Linked DNA regions of Cricetulus griseus. The protein of the gene in region 1 purifies or fractionates together with the protein of each later gene. This does not show direct contact. Links are inferred from orthologs where the notes say so. Each region holds a gene or a part of one and is shown on either strand. Other genes may lie near its edges.

Region 1 (3,747 bases):
TCACAGAGATCAGAAGAGTGCCTTGGATCATTTAGAATTGAGGTTAAAGATGGTTGTGAGTTCCCATGTGGGTGCTGGGACCTGAACCTGGGTCCTTTACAGGAGCAGCAAGTGCTCTTAACCACCAGACAATTTCTCCAGCACCCCTCACAATCTGCTTTTTATTCCCCTCCTACTGTGGACAGGGTGGCTTTTTATAACAGTTGTTTTTTTATTCTCTGGCTGCCAAAAGCCATTTCCAAATGTCAAATTTGTTCTTAGAGAATCTTGGCATGCAGATAGTAGAGAATGGAAGTTTTCTTAGATGTAAATGATCAGGTTGTTCATAAAAGCAGTAAACCTTAATCTCAGTATTCCAGAGGCACAGGCAGGCAGAGCATTGTGAGTTCTGGGCCAGTTGGGCTATTTGGTGAGACCCTGTCTCAAAAAAACAAAAACTTAAAAAAACAACAACAAAAAACCAACCAACCAACCAACCAAACAAAAACTTAGTAAGCCTCTTTCAGTGGTTTATAAAAGAAGCTTTAGGACAATGGATAGATATGCTTCTTTTGAAATATGTACTAAATGGGCCATTTGCTATCTTTTGTTTCTCTGAGCTCTTGTATACCCATGTTCTGATACCACTTGTTTTCTTTTCTAGGGTGCAAAGAAGAGTGCTATTGGCCAGCGCATTGTGGCAACCTTACCATATATCAAGCAAGAAGTTCCCATCATAATTGTGTTCAGAGCGTTAGGCTTTGTGTCTGATAGAGATATTTTAGAACATATCATTTATGACTTTGAAGATCCAGAGATGATGGAAATGGTAATGAGAAAGCAAATGCATGTTTCCTGTGTGTAAGAAGCTTAGAGATGCTGATTATTGCCAACCTTAAAGCATCACACATGCACTTAGGAGCAATTTGCCTGTCACACACCCGGGGCATTTACCGTGCAGTGAAAGCTCAGCTTGGCCCCAGTCTCTTCCTGACAGTAAAAGTGGAGGCAGCTGGAGTCTGACAGCAGCGGGAAGAAGCAGCAGTGAGGAAACTGAAAGGCCTCCAGGCTACAGTGGTTTAGTGAAACAGAAGATGAGTAGTTGATAGTTGGTTTTTTAATCTTTTTATTTGAAAAGAATTTCTAACTTTCAGGGATATTGTAAGAATACCACTAGAACTTTTTTTGGGTTTGTCACATTTTCTCTGTCTTATTCTTTTCTGGACCATTTGAGAATAAGTTGTAGATGTCATGTTTGTTTAATGCAGTGTTTATTTCCTAGGAAACAGAACATTCATTGATGTAATCATAGTATAATTATTTTTTGTTTTGTTTCACGAGACAAGAGTTTCTCTGTGTAACAGCCCTGGCTGTCCTGGAACTTGCTTTGTACACCAGGCTGGCCTTGAACTCATAGAGGTCTGCCTGCCTCTGCCCCCTGAGTGCTGGGATTAAAGGCGTGTGCCACTGCTGTCCAACCCAGTATACTTATTAAAATCAAGAAATTAAAAAATAAATCAAGCTGTTAGGATGACTCAGTGGATAAAAGCTCTTACTATACAAGCCTGACAACTTCAGTTCAGTACCCAAAACACACATAAAGGAGTAGAGACAACCAACTCGGCAGAGTATTCCCCAGCCTCCACAGCACACAGACATCACACACACCAGTAATAATACCTTAAACAGTAACTTTGTAATAGCAGTGGTACCAGGTGTCTTTTAAAAAATAATTACTTGACCCACCATCTATCTGTGGGAATTTTACTGTTTTTTTGTTTGAGGCAGGGTCTCATTTTTTAGCTCATGTTTGCCTAGATCTTACTATGTATACCAGGCTGATAGTCTTCTTGACTCTGTCTCACCAGTGCTGGGACTGCAGGCATGTGCCACCATGTCTGGCCTTGACTGGTTTATGTAGCTTTTTTTTTCTGACTTTTGATACCATAATTAAAATTTATGTTTAGAACTGTGGGTGGATGAGAGAAAACACATAAGTCACACTCTAGAAAAGCATTTCCATATGTATAAGGTACATGATGGATGCCAAACTACTTAGTGCTTCCCCTGATTTCTCCAGATTGTGATACTGACAAAAGCAATGCCTACTGTGATAAGAGGGTCCTTACCTTGATTTCTTATGCCCACTATTCTGTACAATTAGAAATTGAAAATTTTAAAATTGGAATAGTAGTCAGGAAAAAAATATAATGATCTTTTTATTTTATATGTATTGGTGTTCTGCCTGCATGTTTGTCTGTGTGAGGGTTTCAGAAGTCCTGGAATTGGAGTTACAGACAGGTCTGAGCTGCCTTGTGGTTCCTTTGGAAGAGCAAGCCAATGCTCTTAACTACTGAGCTATCTCTCCAGCCCCAGGAAAAGTGTTTTTTTGGGGGAGGGTGGGATGGGAATAGGGGTGCTGGAGATTAAACCTAGGTCCTCATATGCTACGCAAGCTCTCAGACAGTGAGTTACAGCCCTAGGAAGAATTATTTTATCTAGCCCTTTCCTAGATGAGGAAACTAGTAACTTGATTGCTCAGAGGTCATAGATAGTGGCAAGAATGAAATATAGGTCTGTTCAACAGTGCAGTGTGAAAATAGTCTCTTTTTCACTATAGTGAGTGATATCGTATAGAGGTTAAATGTTTCTTCCTGCAAGCACTGAAAAGAAAACCATTCATTTGTAGCTCTGCAAATTTTAATTGCACCATGAAACTTCTCTAAATATATTTGAAATATCTAGAAGAAATGTCTCATTTTTGGTTTTAAACTGTTGGTCATTAAAATATGAAAAGCAAAATACTACTTTTAAATTAGTAGAATTATATTTATTGAGAAAGTGGATTGCTTACATTGGGTGGATTTTGACAGACACTTCTGTATCTCTGAGGAACCTTGTAGATCTAAAATGTGGTCTCTTGACTTTTCTAACAATAGGCTAGAAACTTACTTCACGTGTCAATAAAGTCACGTTAGGTAAAAATATAAATCTGAAAAAGTTAACTATAATTTATTTGGTAGGTTAAACCATCTCTTGATGAAGCATTTGTCATCCAAGAACAGAATGTTGCCTTGAACTTCATTGGTTCAAGAGGAGCAAAGCCTGGTGTTACTAAGGAGAAAAGAATTAAATATGCAAAAGAAGTCTTACAGAAAGAAATGCTGCCTCATGTTGGTGTCAGTGATTTCTGTGAGACCAAAAAAGCCTATTTCTTGGGGTAAGTTAAATTTTACTGTTTGAAGATCTTTGCTAAGTTACAATTGAGATAAAGTGGTTTTCCATAAAGCTAAGGATGTTATAAGTTGTGTTTTGAGATATGTCAAGAAAGACCAAAAATCAAGTGTTTTCATTTTCTTTTGTAGGTATATGGTTCATAGGCTACTTCTAGCCGCTTTGGGTAGAAGAGAACTAGATGACAGAGATCACTATGGAAACAAAAGATTGGATCTTGCTGGGCCCCTGCTTGCATTCTTGTTTAGAGGGTAAGCATTACAGAATGACTTTGCCTAAGTAGAGAGAATTCATTACTTCATTATAGGTGGGTCTTCCTTAGTGTCCCAGAGTGGCTCACATGGTTTCTTTATACATGGGTGCTACAGATTTAAACTCAAGTCCTTATGCTTTCACAGATACTTTTACTAACTGACCCATTTCCTCAGATGCCTCGATCAGTTTTGATCATTGCCTCACTAAAGACTTATTCTGTAAGCACTTTATCTTAATTGTTCTCTACTACAAGTGTATATAGGATATATAAACCTCAAA
Region 2 (4,501 bases), about 74 Mb from region 1:
CTATCACCCACGATTTAACAGGTTTCTTTTTCTTCCAGAATCATTTTCTGGCTTTCAGTGTCTTTATATTTTCTTAGACTACCACAAACTCTTTGAAGTCCCGGCCCTCATTTTTTCATATATTAATTCCCACTAGCCCTAGTCTGCAGCAGATACTGGCTGTTAGTTCATCATTTTTTTTTTATAGTCTTAATCTCTAATAATCTCATGCCTCGCCGGGCGTTGGTGGTGCACACCACACTTTTAATCCCAGCATTGGAGAATTAGAGGCAGGCGGATCTCTGTGAGTTAGAGGTCAGCCTGTTCTCCACAGCGAGTGACAGGAGAGGCTCCAAAGCTACACAGAGACACCCTGTCTCAAAATACAAAACAAAACAAACAAAAAACTCATGCCTCTACTATGGTTCATTCCCACAAAACAGTATGCTATAATTTGTTTTTAATAAATTAAAAACTTTCCGAGTTCTTTTTTTCCCTCTGAAATATTAGGAAAAGCCCAAACAACAAGGGCAGATTAAAAAAAAAAAAAAAGTGTCACAAACATGCCACTTCAGTTGCCCAGCAGGCCAGAATTTCAGCATAGAGAAAATCCGGAAATGCAGGACCGGTGGGAAAGGCCCTATAAATACCTACAGTCTAACCAGGCCTCTATGTCCCAAATTCAACTTGTGTATCAGGCAGCGTCCTGCAGTTTTCCAACTACACTTGAGAACAATTCATACGTCTTGCAGGCGCAGATTGAAGGCTTCAGGTAATGTGACATGGGCAGAGAATTTTTCTGACACAATACTGGCAGGGACTGAAAGGCGGGTTTCCGGGAAATCTATTCTCTGGGTCACCTGCGCAACGTGGTCATCCTTTCCATTTTAAAACGAGGGCAGTGGATTAGAATCTGGCAAGCTCCTTTTTTTCTTAATATACTCTAGTGCCCAAACACGAGTGGAAGAGGGGAACTTGGTTGGGGAGGACCGCTGTTTTCCTGGTCCATACTTGAGTTCCCCTTCGTGTTTGCAGGGTTGGGGGAGGCACTCCAGGACTGGCTTCCCTTTCTGTGGGTGCTCTGACTCGCTGCAGCCGGAGCCGAATGACTGGCGGGGATTAGCACCAGGTCATAAACAACCTTTCACTTCCCCTCCCCCCTGGGCCGTCCCGGGGCCCGGCCTGCAACGGCCGCGAGGGCCTGCGCGGTTCCCTAGCCCCGGCCAGTTGGCTCTCCTCAGCCCTGCACTCTCAATCGCGACGCAGAGCCCTCGCCCACAGGCTGAGGGCGGCTTCCACTTCCCCTCTCCCGACCCTGTCACCGAGCACAGCCCAAAGGCCGGCCGCCCTGACACGCACGCCCACAGCCGCTGCCGCCCTGCGCGGGCCGACCCAGTCCCCGCCCCCATCCGCCGCGCTTCCGCGGCGTGTCCCCGCCCCTTCCCGGAGCCCGCCTCCCGGCTGCGGGACCTGCGGCCGCCCCTCGCGCTGGCTCTAGCGCGCACCCGGTGCCCCGCCTCCGCGCGTGCTCAATAACTGTCCTCTGAGTCTGCCTACAAGCTTCCCCCGCCCCTGAGCTGTTTGAATATGCTAATAAGGCTCTAAGGACCAGCCAGTAGAACTGCGGGCCTGCGCATCACGTGACACGAGTACGTGTCAGGGGCGGAGCCTACGTAGCCCCTGCCCGAGTTAAAACCGGAGAGTGAGAGAGAAAAGCGCTTCAGTAGCGAGAGGGGCTGAGAAAGTGGTGACACCGCTGGGGTGCGGAGGGAGTCCCTGAAACTTCTCCCAACAGCCCCAGGGCCAATCTCCCCTCAGCCCAGTCCCCTCTTCGCCAGATCCCTGGTCCCCACTCCCTGCACTGGGGGTGGGGTGGGGAACTGGGCCCGTCTCCCGCGGGGACACACACAGGGGCCGGGAGTGGGGACGGGACCCCCAGGCGGGGGGGACGGACGGACAGGCGTCCGTGCGGCCGCCCCAGCAGGCAGGCAGGCAGGCCGGAGGCAGGGGTACGACCGGGAGGACCTGGGCTGGGGAGTTTCCTCTCAACTATCGGGGGAGAAACTCCCCGCAGCCGGTGTTTTCCTCCCGGGGGCCGCGTTCCCCGCCCCGCGTAGCGGCGGTTGCCGCCGCCGCCGCCGCCGCCGGTGCTTCCACCTCTGCCATCTCTTCACCACCTCGGGCCCCGGTGTCCCCGGCCAGCACTATGCCCATCTTACTGTTCCTGATAGACACGTCTGCCTCTATGAACCAGCGCAGCCATCTGGGCACCACCTACCTGGACACGGCCAAAGGCGCGGTAGAGACCTTCATGAAGGTACCGACTGACCGAGCCCCGGCGGCGACCCCGACCCGGTGGCCCGCGGGGGGCAGGGCGGGGGGCGGCGGGGCTACTGCGGGCGCCTCGGGCGCGGGGACCCCTCCCACCGCGCGGGCGTGCGGGCGGGCGGGGCGAGCGGGCGGGCGAGCGGGCGAGCGGGCGGGCGCTGGGAGCTGGGAGCGGGCTCCGCTGGGCCTGGCCCATGTGGGGCTACTGTGGGTGCGGGGGTCGGCGGAGTGGTGGCCCTGTGTGTACGGTACTGTGGGGGCGGCCAGCGACCCTTCTGCGACTGGTAACCTCGCCTCTGTGCTTCCTTCTCTCCCTCCCGTCCCCACCCTGGCCCGCAGCTCCGTGCCCGGGACCCTGCCAGCAGAGGAGACAGGTATATGCTGGTCACTTTCGAAGAGCCGCCCTATGCTATCAAGGTAACAGCCCTCGCCCTCCCCCCTCCCTTCCCTGCTCCTTCCTAGCTCGCCCTCCCCGCCCCCCTCTTCATTATGCTCCCCTCCCCCACCGCGGCTCCCGCCTCCAGGTCCCTTCCCCTGTGGCCTCCCACCCCTCCCCAGCTCGGGAGCGCCGGCGCGGTGGCAGTTTCTGGCCCACCGCCGTCCCCTCCGGGTCTGGCTCGGCCTGGCGGTGGAGGCGCTACGATCAACATGGCCGACATTTCCCCTCCGCGGCGTGAGCGGCAGCAATGAACTGTGGGGGATATTTATTCAAGTTAGCCCGAGTGACAGCCGGGCCCAGCCTTGCCTAGCCAGGGTTTGCATTAAAAGGGAATCAGCCAAGCTGGCAGGGAAGCCAGGAGGGGGGCTTCGAGACTTGGTCATCACAGAGTGGAACTAGGAAGGCCACCGATTGGTGGGACAGCTGTGGTCAACTTAAGAAGTCCTGCTGCCATCTGCCTTCCACTAGTACCTTCGCAACACCCACCCCTTACACACAATTTGGAGGATGTTATGTTAGCGAATTTCCCAGTGAAGTTATTAAAGTATTAAGACTGTGTAGGGCAAGCAGGTTCATTCTTGGCCACCTTTGGAAGAGATTTCCTCACCCAGAGACAACAGTTATAACATGTGACCCAAGCCATATCAATCAAAAGTGAAGTTAACTATACAAACCCGAAGTGGAATGCCTGCTTGGTGGACATCACATTATAATCGGTGTCCATGTGTGCTGTGGCTTCAAATGATAAAAAAAATTCTTACATCTTTCTTTTCAGGCTGGATGGAAAGAAAATCATGCAACGTTTATGAATGAACTGAAAAACCTTCAGGCAGAAGGACTTACGACTCTTGGCCAATCCCTAAGGACAGCTTTTGATTTGTTAAATTTAAATAGATTAGTAACTGGCATAGACAACTATGGGCAGGTAGGTTGAATACTAAGGTAGAAAAGTTGTTTTTATTTATGTGTACAAAAACACAATCCAGTCCAAAAGTATGCAACATGAAATGCAAGTATAAAACATAACAAGGTTGAAATTTAGTGTGCACACAGTTCAAAACACCTAAGGTGTATGAGTTCCCTCATTTTCCCCTTTAAGTGTATTTCCCTGTAGACTTCGAATCTAAATTCTTGGCTATAAAGTTGACATGAATTTGGTTTCAGTCCCTCAAAGTTCATAAAAGACATCAAGGGGAAGATACCCTGTGAATACACCACTCTGAAACTATGCCACGTGTAGGTACATATGTAACTACTGCAGTGGGTCACAGCTGTCCCGTTGACTGCAGTTTCTTCTATATTAGTAAAGACATTGGAAGACATGACTGTTAGATGAGGGTTTAGCTTAACCTAGATTGTATACTTGCAAAGGTGAGATTTGTCAGTAGTGCAGTCATTGGTTGACATTCAGATGTCTCTTGAGGCCTATACTATTAGAAGTTACTATAGTAGGAAGTCTGAAAGTAATGACAGATTGAGAATTTTTAAAGTTTAAAATTTCAAAACCCTTGGGAAAATGTTTTCTGGGAAACATGAAAACTTGCCTGTCTTTCTGAAGCTCCTCAAAGTTCCTCTCATTTGTGAGGATGAGGCAAGAGCTTTAAGTCACAGCAGTCATTTACCAAGGAAATGTGAGATGATCCATTTATGATATGCTATCCTAGAAATAAAAGATAACAAAGAATATGTATTGCTGCACACCAGTAGTATCACACCCAAGAAATTCAGTATGCAAAGCACTATTACCATAATACT
Region 3 (4,444 bases), on another chromosome or scaffold:
TCAGTTATGTTCACTCCTGCTTAGAAGATCCTCACACACACACAGCACTCTCTGAACTGGCATACCACATGAAACATTCTTGGGACAAGCCTGTTCCCTGTTCTGTGACACTTACACATTGGTCTTAAACTTATGAGGAGGGGGCACTGGGTTCTTGGCTCGCATTTCTAGCACTTCCATGTAATGAGGCCTCTTAGGCGTCTCACTCTGGAGCTCCGGCACGTTCTCAGAGCTGCTGTTTTCTTCTGAGGGTTCACTCTGGTCTACAATTGTGATCTTCTGCAACTTAGTGATAAACAGACTGTCAATGCTGCTGGAAATGTCTTCCACTTGACTTGAAACAGGGCGTTGGGGGAGATGTTTGTTAACTTCAGATGAGGGTGCCCTGGCTGTACTGCCGGGAACAGGGCCGGTGTTCACTGTGCAGTCAGCCTCCAAAGTCTCTTCATTGCCTTTGTGAGTGAGATGTACAGGTCCTTGTGTTTCTGAGGTTGTTTTAGATGATTTGATGTCTACAGAGGAACAGTCAAGAACTAATGATGAAGTATCAAGCATCAGGTCAGAATTCTGGGCCTTGTCTATGTCGATATCAACTCGTGTGGTTGCTTTTTGCCTTAGCTTACAGTCTACACTAACAGGATGAAACAGTTCACTTCTCCCTCTAACTTCTTCACGTTCTGCAATGGCAGCTTTCAGTTTGGCAACGGTGTCTGAAATCTTTTTACCTTTGTCGGGCAATTTGCAAATGAATTTTCTGTCAAATGCAAAAAAAAGAAAGAAAGAAACCAACATGTACACATTAGAGCCATGTTTTTAAACATGAAAACACGGTATTTAAAAGGCAGAATATAATCCTCAAAGAAAAGCTGGCTTTGAAGTTTTTTCAAAATAAATCTGATTTTTATCTGGCCTAATACAGGAACCCATCAGATATTTTCCCAATCTAAAATCTGAAATTCTTCAAGCCCAGACAATGACTGCCCTGTGGAAAACTTCACACCTTGCCACATGATGAGATGCAGTCAAAACCCAAGCTATAAAGAACACAACACAAAATTACCTTGAAAGTCATATATAAGAAACAACTGAAATCATTTTGAGACTTGGGTCTTAACTCGATACCGTCCCAATACACTCACATATACATTCCAATCTCCCTAAAAATATAAAATTCTGGTTTGTGTATTTAGGAAAGCAGATATTCAACCTGTTCAATATAAATAAAGACTAGTGGTTTTAAAAATATGGTCTTTGAACCCTAATGAGGCTGAAAAATGGGTCAAAAGCACTATTTGCCATTTCTGTCATAAAAGCTGAGTACAACAGGTTTCACAGAGGTCACATAATAGAATACATCACTATCTTACAAAGGAAGATGGACTTATGTGTTTTTGTGAAAGACTTAAGTTGTTTCTGTTAAATCAGCAATATTGCCAGTATAAATAAACAGGAGCTCTTAGGGATGCCCAGTGATTCTTAAAGAATCTAAAAATGTCCTGAGATCAAAAGGTTAATTTATTGCTATTATTAACAACCCATTCTGGAGAAAAAAAGAAGAAAAAAAAAAAAAAAGAATCAAAACAATACCTGTCTCCAGTGCTCACTGGCCCCTTTTGCTCAGTGAAATTCCCTTTCTGGTTCTTTCCCTTAGTTACATAACAAATGAAGATCTCTTAGGTCCTCTATTATTCCCGATACCACACCACATTCATGTTTTCTGCCTCTCTGCAACTGGGGTTCCTCTGCTTATTCAGCCCTCTCTTGAGCCTAGTACCCATTTCTCAGGGTTTAATCAGTTGGCTTTTAACTAACTAAACGCCTGCCATTATTCCCCTCCACTAAATACACCCGCGTAAAAAAAAAAAATTAACCTTGAATCCATTCCTCTCTCCCAATTTTCTCATTATCCTTTGTGGCTCCCCAGAAATTTCAACCACCTGTTAACTATGAATATGTATTTATCTCCAAATTATTTCACCAGTACTTAAGTTTTCCCAGTTTCTCGATTGCCTTCACAGTTCACCTTCCCATCTTGCTGAAAAAAAATCTCTCGGAAAAAAATACATTTTTGGCGTCTTCTGCCTCTTATTACCTCAACCCCGCTCCTAAACAAAGCTGCCTTTAAAAATTAAAACGTCAGCTATCATCATCCACCCTACTACGCGGGAGCGAAACTTTCTAGGCCTAATTAGCCCATCTTTACAGCACACTCTCCCCGTCTCCTTTGCTTTGGGAAAGAGTGGGGCTCTAGATAGAGAAGCGGGGATCGACGCCGTCTGGTCGCAAGGACTGGGTCCCCAGGGTTACGTTTTCTCAAAGCCGCTGTGGGGACGTGGAATGGAGCAGGCGCTGCTGCCTGCTGAGGGCCAGGCAGCATGGAGGAACGCCGCGCGCAGCACGGGCCTGGCCAGGAGGCATGACCACGCAAGGTCACCTTCGCCCGAAAGGCCGCGGCGGGGAGCGGGAGGCTGGTCCCGGATCTCTACCCCCGAGAGCCTATCCCTTGATCCCGGTCCCGATTCCCCGCAACCGCGACCCCCGAGCCACCGCTTACTCGTTGCGCAAAAGTCTCTCCTGGCGCCTCAACCTCTCCCGCAGCTCCGCCGAACTCCGCTGCCCCAAGTCCTCGGGAGCTGGGGGCTCGAAGCCGCGGGGCAGCGAGAACATTGTGCACGGGCTGCGGCTGACGCGGAGGGCACGGCTCCCCGGCGGGGCCCACGGCGGGAGCAGGCTCCGCGGCCGGCGGCGACTCGGGCGCGCGAGCGGGAGTCGCCATTTTCCCGGAAGAGCACGGCTTCTTCGAGCCGAATGGAGCTTTATTGAAATGCCGGAAACGGACCGGGCCAGGAGCAAGGGGGCGCCCGAGGAAGAGCTCAGGGGCGGAAGTTACATCACCGCAGAAGTGTCTGGGTTTGGCGCGCTTTCGCTGGATGTGTGTCCTTTGCTTTCCCAGCTTTTCGACTTCGCTTTGAGAAAGTATAGGACACCCATGTCAAAGACTTACTGACTCACTTCTATTAAGCAAAGTATGCCAGAAGTAATAGTGTCACATCTCAATTAAGCAGTACAGTGTTTGGACAAACATTTCACAGGGATTCCTGAATGAACACTAATAACCGTAAAAATAAATGACAGGGGGTTGTAGAGATGGCTCAGTGGTTAAGAGTGCATAGTGCTCTTGCAGAGGACTAGAACTTGGGTAACAGCACCCCTGTGGGGTAGCTTACAATTGCCTTTAACTGCACCTCTAGGGCATCTCACAACCTTCCCTGGCTTCTGCAGGCACCTGGTTCACATGCACACACATACGAGCACACACACAATCAAAACATAATAAATATTTAAAAAACAATGAATGACCAGTATTACTAGCAATTATAAAATGCATTTTATAAACACAATATAGCTAAGCGTGGTAGTGCATGCCTTTAATCTCAGCACTTGGGAGGCAGAGACAGGCTAATCTCTGTGAGTCCAAGACCAGCCTGATCTACATAGTGAGTTTGAGACCTGCCAAGGCGACATAGTGAGTCCCTGTCTCAAGACAAACAAAACAACAAGATTTGGATATTTGGACAAATCAGAATATCAGGAATTAGACTGACCCTGTCAAGTGTTAGGAAGAAGAAGAAGAAGAAGAAGAAGAAGAAGAAGAAGAAGAAGAAGAAGAAGAAGAAGAAGAAGAAGAAGAAGAAGAAGAGGAGGAGGAGGAGGAGGAGGAGGAGGAGGAGGAGGAGAGAGGAGGAGGAAGAGGAGGAGGAGGAGGAGGGAGGAGGAGGAGGAGGAAGAGGAGGAGGAGGAGGAGGAAGAAGACGAAGAAGAAGAAGAAGAAGAAGAAGAAAGAAGAAGATCTGAGATTTCCATAGACAGCTAAACAGGGAGGGGTTTGCAAATAGTAGAACCTCTTTGGAAAATAGTTTGATAATTTCTGAGTCTGGCTTTGTTAATGTTTAGTGTAATGATCTTGAAGTTCATCTATGCCAATGTTTCTTTATATTGCTAAGTAGTATTGTACTATGTGAGCTTGTTTATGCTGAATGATATTTGAGTTGTTTTCAGTTATTAATGATCATAAATCAAATCACTGTCAACATTTTTGTATAGGTGTTCATTGTTATAGTGGAAGCTTCACCCCAGGCCCTGGCATCCATATACCCAAAGAATCTGGAATGTTATTGTTGAAGTTCTACCCAAACCTCCCATCTCCTATCTCCCTCCAAACCCTGCTGCATCTCAGGAAGCCTGCCAAATGATGACCCCTCCCCCAGAGATGCTCAAGACCACTCCCACAGGGTATTTAACTCCCCCCAGAAATTAGTCTTGTGGTTTTCCCGTCTCTCTTTCCCATCTCCTCTCTGGGGGGCTGGAAGGCCATCCCGGAGCGTTGTATCCATTAAACGTGTGCTTTTTCTAATTTTTGATTTGGTCTGATTTGGATTGTTGG

Evidence for each region. The genes of interacting proteins can lie anywhere in the genome.
Region 2: the proteins of Polr2b (region 1) and Ints6 purify together in Homo sapiens (affinity purification with mass spectrometry; 3 studies listed by BioGRID and IntAct, with this or other methods). This does not show direct contact. The link is inferred for Cricetulus griseus from reciprocal best matches to the Homo sapiens genes POLR2B and INTS6.
Region 3: the proteins of Polr2b (region 1) and Polr2m purify together in Homo sapiens (affinity purification with mass spectrometry; 3 studies listed by BioGRID and IntAct, counting the BioPlex papers as one, with this or other methods). This does not show direct contact. The link is inferred for Cricetulus griseus from reciprocal best matches to the Homo sapiens genes POLR2B and POLR2M.

Annotation. Positions count from the first base shown.
Region 1 is NW_023276807.1:143,707,693-143,711,439, forward strand, and holds part of Polr2b (DNA-directed RNA polymerase II subunit RPB2), read left to right. Parts: intron 1-643; coding exon 644-808; intron 809-3,002; coding exon 3,003-3,199; intron 3,200-3,344; coding exon 3,345-3,464; intron 3,465-3,747. UniProt on the Homo sapiens protein: Catalytic core component of RNA polymerase II (Pol II), a DNA-dependent RNA polymerase which synthesizes mRNA precursors and many functional non-coding RNAs using the four ribonucleoside triphosphates as substrates.
Region 2 is NW_023276807.1:217,770,929-217,775,429, reverse strand, and holds the start of Ints6 (integrator complex subunit 6), read left to right. Parts: upstream 1-1,694; 5' UTR 1,695-2,185; coding exon 2,186-2,296; intron 2,297-2,646; coding exon 2,647-2,724; intron 2,725-3,521; coding exon 3,522-3,671; intron 3,672-4,501. UniProt on the Homo sapiens protein: Component of the integrator complex, a multiprotein complex that terminates RNA polymerase II (Pol II) transcription in the promoter-proximal region of genes.
Region 3 is NC_048597.1:182,991,343-182,995,786, forward strand, and holds the start of Polr2m (protein GRINL1A), read right to left. Parts: upstream 2,808-4,444; 5' UTR 2,668-2,807; coding exon 2,555-2,667; intron 755-2,554; coding exon 116-754; intron 1-115.